Macaca mulatta: one gene and its partners. Each later gene encodes a partner of the first gene's protein in a complex. Links are inferred from orthologs where the notes say so. Each region holds a gene or a part of one and is shown on either strand. Other genes may lie near its edges. The genes, in order: TIMP1, MMP10 and MMP3.

Region 1 (4,185 bases):
AGGCTAATATCCCTGAGTTAATCAAACTTAATTAGCAAGGGAGTATGGCGAGTGAATGAGATAATTTATACAAATACTTTAGCACGTAGTATACAGAAAGTGCTCAATAAGCGGCTGCCATCATCACTACAATTATTATTATTGATCTATCCTCCTCGAATTAAGGGTGTTAATCAGAACCCCAGGGAAGATTCCTGCACTGTCAAAAAGCTGGTGGGCAAGGATTGCCCCACCCCACCCTCCACCAGGGGTATAGGTCCGTGGGGAAGGGGCAGGGCAGGATGGGGTGGGGACTAGTTTTCTACTGACCCACTCACTTGTTTCTTTCACCTTCATTCATGGCCACCCCCTTCCCAATGCTCATTCATTCACCCGCACCATTCCCTGCTTGCTAGGATGGTGCCACTCCTGAGTTACGATCCTGGTGCCAGGTAGCCTCAGTTCGAATCCTGGCCATGTCCTGTGATCTTGGGAAAATTCTTCAGTTCCTCTATACCCCGTATTTCCTCATCTGTAAAATGGGAATAATAACTGGTACCCATCTCAGAGATTTGTTGTGAGCTCTGAGTGAGATAAACTATGCTGAGTGCCTGGTATACAGTCGGTGCTATATAAATGCCGGCTATTTGCCTGTGTTTTTTGAGACCCTGGCTTTGGTTCCTGGCCACCTGAGTTCCAGTCTCAGTTCTGCCATGTACTGACTCTATGATCCTGGATAAGTCACTTAACCACTCCATGCCTCAGTTTCCCCATTTTGTGTTCCTCCCCATTCACCTGCCTTATCTCCCTCCACTGCTGCTATTTAATTTGTTTCCTCTCTGCCACCCCTCACCAGCATGTCAGACATACAAAACAAGGGATTTTTGTGTGCTTGGCACACAGTAGATGCACAATAAATGTTGAAGGGCTGAACTCATTTGGGTTTGAGCCATAGGGAGCTTGGGGGATGTGGGTGATTGGATAGATTCTGGAGACTTTAGGGGACTGGGCTGGGGGGAATGCGGCCTCTAAGCTCTCCGCTGAGGCGCCTTGGAAGGAATAGTGACTGACGTGGAGGTGGGGGAGGGGGCTGGCCCGGGCGAGGCCCAGGGAGAGGGAGAGGAGGGGGGTGGGAGAGGAGGAGGGTGTATCTCCTTTCGTCGGCCCGCCCCTTGGCTTCTGCACTGATGGTGGGTGGATGAGTAATGCATCCAGGAAGCCTGGAGGCCTGTGGTTTCCGCACCCGCTGCCACCCCCGCCCCTAGCGTGGACATTTATCCTCTAGCGCTCAGGCCCTGCCGCCATCGCCGCAGATCCAGTGCCCAGAGAGACACGAGAGGTAAGCAGGGCCCGGGATGGCCCAGCAGGAACCGGGGCTGGGCCGCAGCTTGGGTGCTGGCCACCAGGCCCGTGCACTCCCGTGCTAGATGCCTGTCTACTCAGCTTGGCCTGCGGGTACCAGGATCCTGGGCTAGTCTAGGGGGAAGAGGGTCGGAGGCTGGAACCGCTTTCCCAACCCTGAGGCTCCAAACTCCCTAGAACCCCTGACATCCATCCCCAACTCTCCCAAACCCATGACCCCCTAGTATCACAAATGCTTTCCAAATCCCCCGCAAATCCCTTCATCCAGCACTTTCCCTCATCGCCTCCTAAATCCCCACCGCTAACCCCTGCAGCTCCCTGAACTCCCCCATCTCCCCAATCCCCAGTTTCCCAGCTCCCCAGCTCCCAAACTTCTTTTGCCCTCAGATTCCTCAAGTATCACCATTGCCTTAAGCCCCCAAATTCCCCCAACCCCTTCAACCTCCAAACTCCCCCAGCTCCCCAAATCCCCAACCTCCTCCAAATTCCTCAACCTCCCTAAATTCCCCCAGCCCCCTATATCTCTTAATACACACAACCCCTAAACTCTGCCTCCTCCAAACCCCTCCAGCCCCCAATCCCAAATTCCTCACCCCCAAACTCCTCAACCTCCAGAATTCCCCAATCCCCTCATTCCTCAAACTTCCTTAGCTCCCTTCTCCCCCAAGTGCCACAGCTCCATAACCCCGCAACTCAGTCCCTCAATAATTTAAACTTTCCCAACTCTCTAAACCCTAAATTCCTCTGGGCTCCCCAATCCCCTTAAAATCCCCAAGCTTCCCAACCCCTGAAGCCCAAATCCAGTCCCCTAATCCCCCCATAGGCTGCGCCGGGGCAGGATGGGGTGGATGACCTGCCCAGGTCAGCAGATCAGCTGGGCTGGGGCCTGCCTGACATCCCTCTTCCCCACAGAACCCACCATGGCCCCCTTTGAGCCCCTGGCTTCCGGCATCCTGTTGTTGCTGTGGCTGATAGCCCCCAGCAGGGCCTGCACCTGTGTCCTACCCCACCCACAGACGGCCTTCTGCAATTCCGACCTCGGTGAGTCCTCACCCCACTCAGCCCACACACTCTGCCTTGGTTTCCCTCTCAGTCCGGTGGGGCTCACGATGGCACTTACCTCTAGAATGATTCCACTCGCCCCCTGCTCTTCCTCTGCTTTAGCCACATTGGCATCCTCACACTTTCTTGAGTACTCCGTGCCCAAGCCCACCACAGGACCTGTGTGCTGGCTGCTCCCTCTGCCTGGTACACTTTCCCCCCAGGTATCCACATGGGTGGCTGCCTCAAATGTCACCTTCTCAGGATGGCCTTCCCTGGCCATCTTGTTTAAAATTTTAACCCCTGCCCCTTAGTACTCCTGATTTCCTGTTAAAGAGAAAAATATTCGGTGATAGTTGTTATAGCACAGTAAGGAAGACCATATTCAGGACAATGGTGATGGGTACAGGAACCACTGCAATGGGATCTTGCTGTCTGGGAGAGAGATTGGGCTCAACACTGAATATAGCATGGGCCAGTGGGAATGTCTGGGCACTCCCAAATATTTGAGGAGTAAATGAACAAATGAATATATGAAAATGGCTTAAGCAGTGCCTGGCGAAGAGAGACACTCAACATACAGATGAATCAATAAACAAATGTGTAAATCACTTAGTGTGCTGTCTGGCATCCAATAACCCCTATTTATGTATGCACGTTGCTGGTATTATGATGATGATGATCTTATTTTTATTGGCTCATGCAGTCCATTTGACTCATATTTCCCTCCTCTCCTGCAGTCATCAGGGCCAAGTTCGTGGGGACACCAGAAGTCAACCAGACCACCTTATACCAGCGTTATGAGATCAAGATGACCAAGGTATCCCCTGCTCCCGCCCCTTTCCCAGCATTTTCTAACATCTTCCTCCTGGTCAAAACAGAAACTTCTGGCCACTGGTTGGTGCAAGAAAGTTGGCTGTGATCTTGGGATGCTATGTGACTTCAGGGAAGAACCTGGAGTGGGAGGATTATGTCAGTAAAAGAGACACTTCCCCTCATCCATCAACAGATGTATAAAGGGTTCCAGGCCTTAGGGGATGCCGCTGACATCCGGTTCGTCTACACCCCCGCCATGGAGAGTGTCTGCGGATACTTCCACAGGTCCCACAACCGCAGCGAGGAGTTTCTCATTGCTGGTGAGGCACCGTCCCCGCGCCCTGTGCCACGCCAACCAGTCCCTGGGGCGCGGCCTAGCAACAGCGAGGGGGCGAGGCTCTGATGGGAATGGTTCCACTGGAAATGGGTACCATCCCAATTTCAGCCTATCAGAAGGCCGGGCCTTTGCTAGCCTGGCGGCTCAGCCAATCAAAAGCTGCTTGTCGGTTACCCCCGCTTTCTCCTTAGGAAAACTGCAGGACGGACTCTTGCACATCACCACCTGCAGTTTCGTGGCTCCCTGGAACAGTCTGAGCTTAGCTCAGCGCCGGGGCTTCACCAAGACCTACACTGTTGGCTGTGAGGAATGCACAGTGAGTACCTGGACCCTGACCTCCAACGGGAGATCCTTCCGCGGCCCTTCCCTAAATCGTGGGCTTGTTCCTTGCTCCCTCTGGCTATTCTGTGTCCCTGTGGCTGCTCCCAAACCCTAAGGGTTGTCCCTGATCTCTCTTGCTATTTCCCCAAGCCCGAGACTGCTCCCTTACAAATTCTGGCTGCTCCCTTGCCCTGTGTCCAATACCGTGTGATCGCCTGTCCCTGGTCCCTCTAACTCTCCCTTGTTACTATTCTGTAATCCCACTCTCCGTTCCTGAGCCCCTGGGATTGTTTCTTCGTTCCCCAGAATGTTCTCCAAGAACCCAAAGT
Region 2 (2,769 bases), on another chromosome or scaffold:
ATTTGTGATTATGAAGAAGACAGTTTATTGTTCTACTTCCTGGATACAAAGGGCTCTCAGAGCGGTGATCACTGGGCTATATACTCAGACACCAAAGGACATCAGGAGAGGCCAGCTGAGGTCCAAAGACATTCCCTTCTTATCCCGTTTCCAGTCACCATGTGGCTGCCATAGGAAGCCCAGGTGTGGCAGGCTTTGGAGACAAGATCTACAGGGTCCCAGTGTGACTGAGAACCAGAGGTTTAGTTTTAGCTAAGTGATTTAATTCATTTTGCATTTTATGTCTACACAGTCTTTATGTATTTGTGGTAGACACATAGAAATTTGGGGTCTGTGTGTCCAGGCTTAGAAAATTTACCTCAGACATATGTATGGAACCTCTGTAAAATGACAGAATGTTCCTGTTTCTGGGAAAGTATTGTTTTATGTGTTAAACTTGTAAGCCCAGGAAAGTAACCTCTTCTTGTAGCTCTAAAAATGTTTAACACTTTTTTACACAACTTAAAAGTTTGTCTAGGGTTCCACACTGGAAAATTAACATCACATTATACTATTGTGTGTAATGGGACTACTACGCAACATTGAACTGTATTTCTTTCATTTGGCTTAGATTTGATGAAAATAGCCAGTCCATGGAGCAAGGCTTCCCTAGACTAATAGCTGATGACTTTCCAGGAGTTGAGCCTAAGGTCGATGCAGTATTACAGGCATTTGGTAAGAAGACCCTTATTTCATTGTCAATGCAGGAATCTCCAGGCATTTTTATGATTTCAAAATGAAGTGCAGAATCAAAATAGTTTTTAAATCATTCAGTCTGATATCTTTTTTACTCCAAATTCCTGAAAATCTTAACTTTCCAATTTATGCAAAGTGGGTTTAAATTGTGTGTGTGTGTGTGTGTGTGTGTGTGTGTGTGTGTGTGTGTGGTTTTTTTTTTCCTGAATAGCTTCCAAGTCTCTGTTTCATACCCGCACATAAAATCAAAGGATACTTTCTCACACAGAAGCCATTATCTTTCAGGTCACTATGTTGGTATAAAAATACAATCTATGTGAGCCAAGTTTACTAATGGCTGGTTGTCATTCTATTCTATCCCATCCTGTTGTCCCTTTCCTTCTATCCCATCCCAGGGGAGCCTTGTCTGGGCTTCTGTTGCAGTCTGCAATTTCCTACATTAGTCATTTGTAAAAAAAATAGTAGCCCTCCCATATGCTCAGAATAGGTAAAATGTGATTCATGGTAATGGGTAAATAGGAAAGCAAAACTTGTTCTTGATTACTCTGAAGGAATTTTGGAGGGAGCTGCCAGTGCTTGACAATCCAGTGCTCATGAGGCTGATGATCTTGTTACTAAAATGACTTAACCATGATGGATGCAAAGCAGGAAATGGACCTCTGGCTCATTTATCATTTGTCTGATTCTCTTGGGTCTAGTTGTCTCCTAAGCTGTAATTTAGGACCTAGCAGAAGAGGAGAGGTTGGAAAGAAAGGAAAACAAGATTTTAAAATATTATAGAATGTTATATATTTAGAACCAGTATAACATAATGTTTTAGAGCACTTCCTTTGGAGTCAGATGAGATGGTGTCCTCCCTCCATCCTTCCTTACAGATGCTACCTTGTTAAAATTACAAAACCGTCCTAATTTTTAGTTTTGTTCTCATTAATAACACATTACACTTTTTTGTAAGGGTAATTGAGCTAAACATGTAAAGCACTTAGCTCAGTACCTGGCATAGAGTAATCACTTAATAAATGCCATCCATTATTAACTTGTACTTAATCTAAGTCACATATGTTGCAAAATGACATATTTGAAGATGTCTCATCATTTTCCTTCTCTATGTTTACAGGATTTTTCTATTTCTTCAGTGGATCATCACAGTTTGAGTTTGACCCCAATGCCAGGATGGTGACACGCATACTGAAGAGTTACAGCTGGTTACATTGCTAGACAAGATAGGGGGAAAACTGATATGGGTGTTTTAAATAAATCTAATAATTATTCATCTAATGTATTATGAGCCAAAATGATTCATTTTTCCTGCATGTTCTATGGTTAAAGAAAAGGAGCCTTGCAGACATCTGCATGTGTCATGGAGAATGTTTCTGGAATTCTTCATTTGCTTTTGAATTACGTTCAACAGAATTAAGAAATACTCATGTGCAATAGGTGAGAGAATGTATTTCCATAGATGTTTTATTACTTCTTCAATAAAAAGTTTTATTTTGGGCCTGTTCCTTACTTTCTAGAACAATTCATGTTCAATACCCTGACCACACTGGGGACTGATTATTTGACAGATACTCTGCCAGTAGATGTGGTAGGATCACACACTATAAAGGAGCCATGTGGCTGTCACATACCCTCTCCTATGCTCTGCACCAACAGGATCTTTCTTTTTCATCTCACAGATATTGTAAGCGTTCCTTACACACCTAACAAAGAAGGTAAATCAACAGTTGTCCTGTATCTAGGAAGGATCAAAGCAGAATGGAGAAATGGAACTCTAGAATGTTAGAGCCTGGGAACCTGGCGTATTATTTAATAGACTTTACAATTTTACAGGTGGGGAAATAAAACTAGTTTGGAGTCCACTCACCTCTCGTTTTAACCCAAATCTTTCTTTATTGGGATTCCTTTCCTGCTCTGCAGACTAAATTTCTCATCTCACCCTCACCCTCACCCTCCTGTTAGAATATTCTCTTGCTGCCATTTTGTATGTGGAAGCCCCTGGGTGATAAGAGAGCATGTGCACATGTGGTAATT
Region 3 (2,966 bases), on another chromosome or scaffold:
GACATCTATCATTATTCATGTTTTTAGTCTCAATATGTACTTCATGATGATGAGACTGAGACATTATGAATTAAGATGAATATAGTTTCCTTTAACTGAGACTACAAATGGCAAATGTAAATATATTAAAACAGTGTTTAGCTTTGCATTGACAAATGAAGGTAAATATTTGATATGCTAAACAAATGGGTTCATTCCATTCCTGAGTACAAGAAAAGGGACCTGTTTCTTCTGGAGTTAATATGCTTGTGAGGCTGGGGGTGGGTTCCGGGGGATCAATCTCAAAGATTGATTTCAGGTATGAGTTTTAAAATACACTTAGCTTTCCATTAAGTGTGTAATTAGTCAATTGTTTGGTTAACCAACAAACAAGGTGTAAAAAGCCCTGTGTGGTTCCAAGAAGCAAAAACCAGTACAATGCACAGCAGACCTGTGTAATGTACGTGTATTTAAAAAATAAGTAACTATTGTTTTTGATTTCTTAAATAGGGGTCAATTTATTCCTCGTTGCTGCTCATGAACTTGGCCATTCCCTGGGTCTCTTTCACTCAGCCAACACTGAAGCTTTGATGTACCCACTCTACCACTCACTCACAGACCTGACTCGGTTCCGCCTGTCTCAAGATGATATAAATGGCATTCAGTCCCTCTATGGTGAGTGACGCTGGGAAAATTAGCCATTGTGGTTTTGCAACGATGGTCTTCAGAAGAGCTGTCAAATGCTACATTTAGCTGAAAGCACCGTGAGAATGTTTGGAAAGCACACAAACGGGCATATATTGAAACGTATCACATTTCCCCTAATGTTCCCTTTAGGACCTCCCCCTGGATCCCCTGAGACCCCCCTGGTACCCACGGACCCTGTCCCTCCAGCACCTGGGACGCCAGCCGCGTGCGATCCTGCTTTGTCCTTTGATGCCGTCAGCACTTTGAGGGGAGAAATCCTGTTCTTTAAAGACAGGTCAGACTGAAAAATTATATTTTCCTATCATTTTAGTCTACAGTGCTTAGAAAGGAAAACACACAGAAATTTGATAGAGATTTTTAAACATTTAAAACAAAAACGTTTCTTCTGAGCTTGGCATCATTTAGATCTGGTGCTGCCTTTTCCCACATTTTCCTAAAATTGCCAGGTTCGTATTTGAAGGCTCAGGCTGATCTGGTTCCTGTCTTCTAATTGCTATTTCCAAATGTTTTAAGTTGCGGTTACTTTTCAAAAGGCATGAGTAGATCTCTAGAATAATACTTTTATTTTTACTTCCTTTAAAAATGACATCAGGATCAACATTACATTTAATCAAGTAATTTACCTACTGATGGATCAATATGCACATGACAAACATTCAAACAGCACAAATGAGAAGAAAATTAAAAACTTTAGTTCCCAGTTCCCCCTATATTCATCCAGAGTCAAGACTTTTTGTGCATCCTTCTAGAATCTTTCTATACGTATATAAGAATATATTTATACAGCACATACACGTACACACACACTGCCCAGCTTTTGGAACAGGGCATAGCATACGCACTGTTTTGCACACGTTGCAGGTAGTTAAAGCTTATGCTGGGCTAATTCATTTGCATGATAGAATAATTTTTCTTCCATAGAAGACATTCCTCTGGAAACCTATGACAGGAGACTCACTGCAGTCTTCTGAAGAAAAAGGAAAGAAATTTTCTAATGGCAATATACCTGATTTCTATCTGTCATCCAGCCTAGAAGATGAGAGAATGGGGGAAGTTGCGTGAGGCAAGATGGTGAGGAAAATATTCTAAAGGTGAAAGACTGTTTTTCAATTTACATTTCTTTTTACATATATTTTAGGCACTTTTGGCGCAAATCTCTCAGGAAGCTTGAGCCTGACTTGTATTTGATCTCTTCATTTTGGCCGTCTCTTCCTTCAGGCGTGGATGCCACATATGAAGTTACTAGCAAGGATCTTGTTTTCATTTTTAAAGGTAATTATTACATCATCATTTGTTTAACTTGCTAAAATAAACCCTCTCATAAGAAATTGAACGACACTTTCCTTTTCCCTGCTACATCAAGTACTGGCTAGTACAGTAGTCAAAGGTAATGAAGAAATAACCAGGGCTGATATGATTGCATTTATATTTTATAGATGATAAAAATAAAGACAGGAAGATAAATTACCCAGAGTTGTAAATTCTCTCATTTGACCTTGGTTTATTCATTCAGTCTGCAAATTTTTGTGAAAAGCCCACTATGAGCTGGTGACTAAATCTAAAATTTGGGCTACTTCTTTACCATGAAAATCAAAGATGCTAAAGTGTATTTCTAAAGCTAAAGGGCTTAACTGTTATAATTCAATATGACTCTGAATTATTTATATTTAACAGGAAATCAGTTCTGGGCCATCAGAGGAAATGAGGTACAAGCTGGATACCCAAAAGGCATCCACACCCTAGGTTTCCCTCCAACTGTAAGGAAAATCGATGCAGCCCTTTTTGATAAGGAAAAGAAGAAAACATACTTCTTTGTAGAGGACAAATATTGGAGGTGAGATGCAAAAGAAATGACTTTGCGTGGAGCCTAATTAGTGAAATTAGTTTCTTTTTCTAAGGAAATCCCTCACCCCAACCTTAGGCCTGCTTCTCTCTTAGTAGGAAGGATGGGACTTCAGACAACTGTGGGAAAGTTCTTATTTTAAAACAGCAGCACTTTAAGCTCTCCTGCTTTGAGTCCCAAATGCAGTTGGCTGGTGCTTCCCTTAGTGCTGTTGTCCCAACTGCCTGGAGCCCCCTCTTCTCTCCTCAACCTATTCAAATCCTGCCCATCCTTCAAGTCCTGGCTCAAGTCTTATCACCTCCATGCAGCTTTCCCTCATGGACTTTAGACCCGTTGGGAAAATGTTCTGAGAATCCAGACCACCATTTAGCATTTCCTTCCCATTGTCTTATAGTTTGGCTCACTGTCTGTCTGTGTTTGTTACTGTCTCACTGTG

Evidence for each region.
Region 2: the proteins of TIMP1 (region 1) and MMP10 are in contact, whole or in part, in a crystal structure (PDB 3V96), measured with the Homo sapiens proteins. The link is inferred for Macaca mulatta from reciprocal best matches to the Homo sapiens genes TIMP1 and MMP10. Residues at the interface, in NP_003245.1 of Homo sapiens: Cys24, Thr25, Cys26, Val27, Pro28, Asn37, Leu57, Tyr58, Pro87, Met89, Glu90, Ser91, Val92, Cys93, Arg98, Thr121, Cys122, Cys155, Leu156, Ser157, Ile158, Gln173, Leu174, Gly177, Ser178, Glu179, Lys180; in NP_002416.1 of Homo sapiens: Phe170, Tyr171, Gly177, His178, Ser179, Leu180, Ala181, His182, Ala183, Tyr184, Pro185, Tyr191, Asp205, Ala206, Ser207, Gly208, Val214, His217, Glu218, His221, Phe226, His227, Thr231, Tyr236, Pro237, Leu238, Tyr239, Asn240, Phe242, Thr243.
Region 3: the proteins of TIMP1 (region 1) and MMP3 are in contact, whole or in part, in a crystal structure (PDB 1UEA), measured with the Homo sapiens proteins. The link is inferred for Macaca mulatta from reciprocal best matches to the Homo sapiens genes TIMP1 and MMP3. Residues at the interface, in NP_003245.1 of Homo sapiens: Cys24, Thr25, Cys26, Val27, Pro28, Pro29, Val52, Thr56, Leu57, Tyr58, Pro87, Ala88, Met89, Glu90, Ser91, Val92, Cys93, Thr121, Cys122, Leu156, Ser157, Pro159, Gln173, Leu174, Gly177, Glu179; in NP_002413.1 of Homo sapiens: Phe100, Thr102, Phe103, Phe171, Tyr172, Gly178, Asn179, Val180, Leu181, Ala182, His183, Ala184, Tyr185, Ala186, Thr207, Thr208, Gly209, Thr210, Val215, His218, Glu219, His222, Phe227, His228, Tyr237, Pro238, Leu239, Tyr240, His241, Ser242.

What each region holds. Positions count from the first base shown.
Region 1 is NC_133426.1:47,602,010-47,606,194, forward strand, and holds the start of TIMP1 (metalloproteinase inhibitor 1 precursor), read left to right. Parts: upstream 1-1,266; 5' UTR 1,267-1,318; intron 1,319-2,253; 5' UTR 2,254-2,261; coding exon 2,262-2,382; intron 2,383-3,122; coding exon 3,123-3,202; intron 3,203-3,391; coding exon 3,392-3,518; intron 3,519-3,726; coding exon 3,727-3,851; intron 3,852-4,185. UniProt on the Homo sapiens protein: Metalloproteinase inhibitor that functions by forming one to one complexes with target metalloproteinases, such as collagenases, and irreversibly inactivates them by binding to their catalytic zinc cofactor.
Region 2 is NC_133419.1:103,642,077-103,644,845, reverse strand, and holds the end of MMP10 (stromelysin-2), read left to right. Parts: intron 1-610; coding exon 611-714; intron 715-1,852; coding exon 1,853-1,953; 3' UTR 1,954-2,244; downstream 2,245-2,769. UniProt on the Homo sapiens protein: Can degrade fibronectin, gelatins of type I, III, IV, and V; weakly collagens III, IV, and V. Activates procollagenase.
Region 3 is NC_133419.1:103,711,545-103,714,510, reverse strand, and holds part of MMP3 (stromelysin-1), read left to right. Parts: intron 1-489; coding exon 490-654; intron 655-816; coding exon 817-961; intron 962-1,825; coding exon 1,826-1,959; intron 1,960-2,361; coding exon 2,362-2,521; intron 2,522-2,966. UniProt on the Homo sapiens protein: Metalloproteinase with a rather broad substrate specificity that can degrade fibronectin, laminin, gelatins of type I, III, IV, and V; collagens III, IV, X, and IX, and cartilage proteoglycans.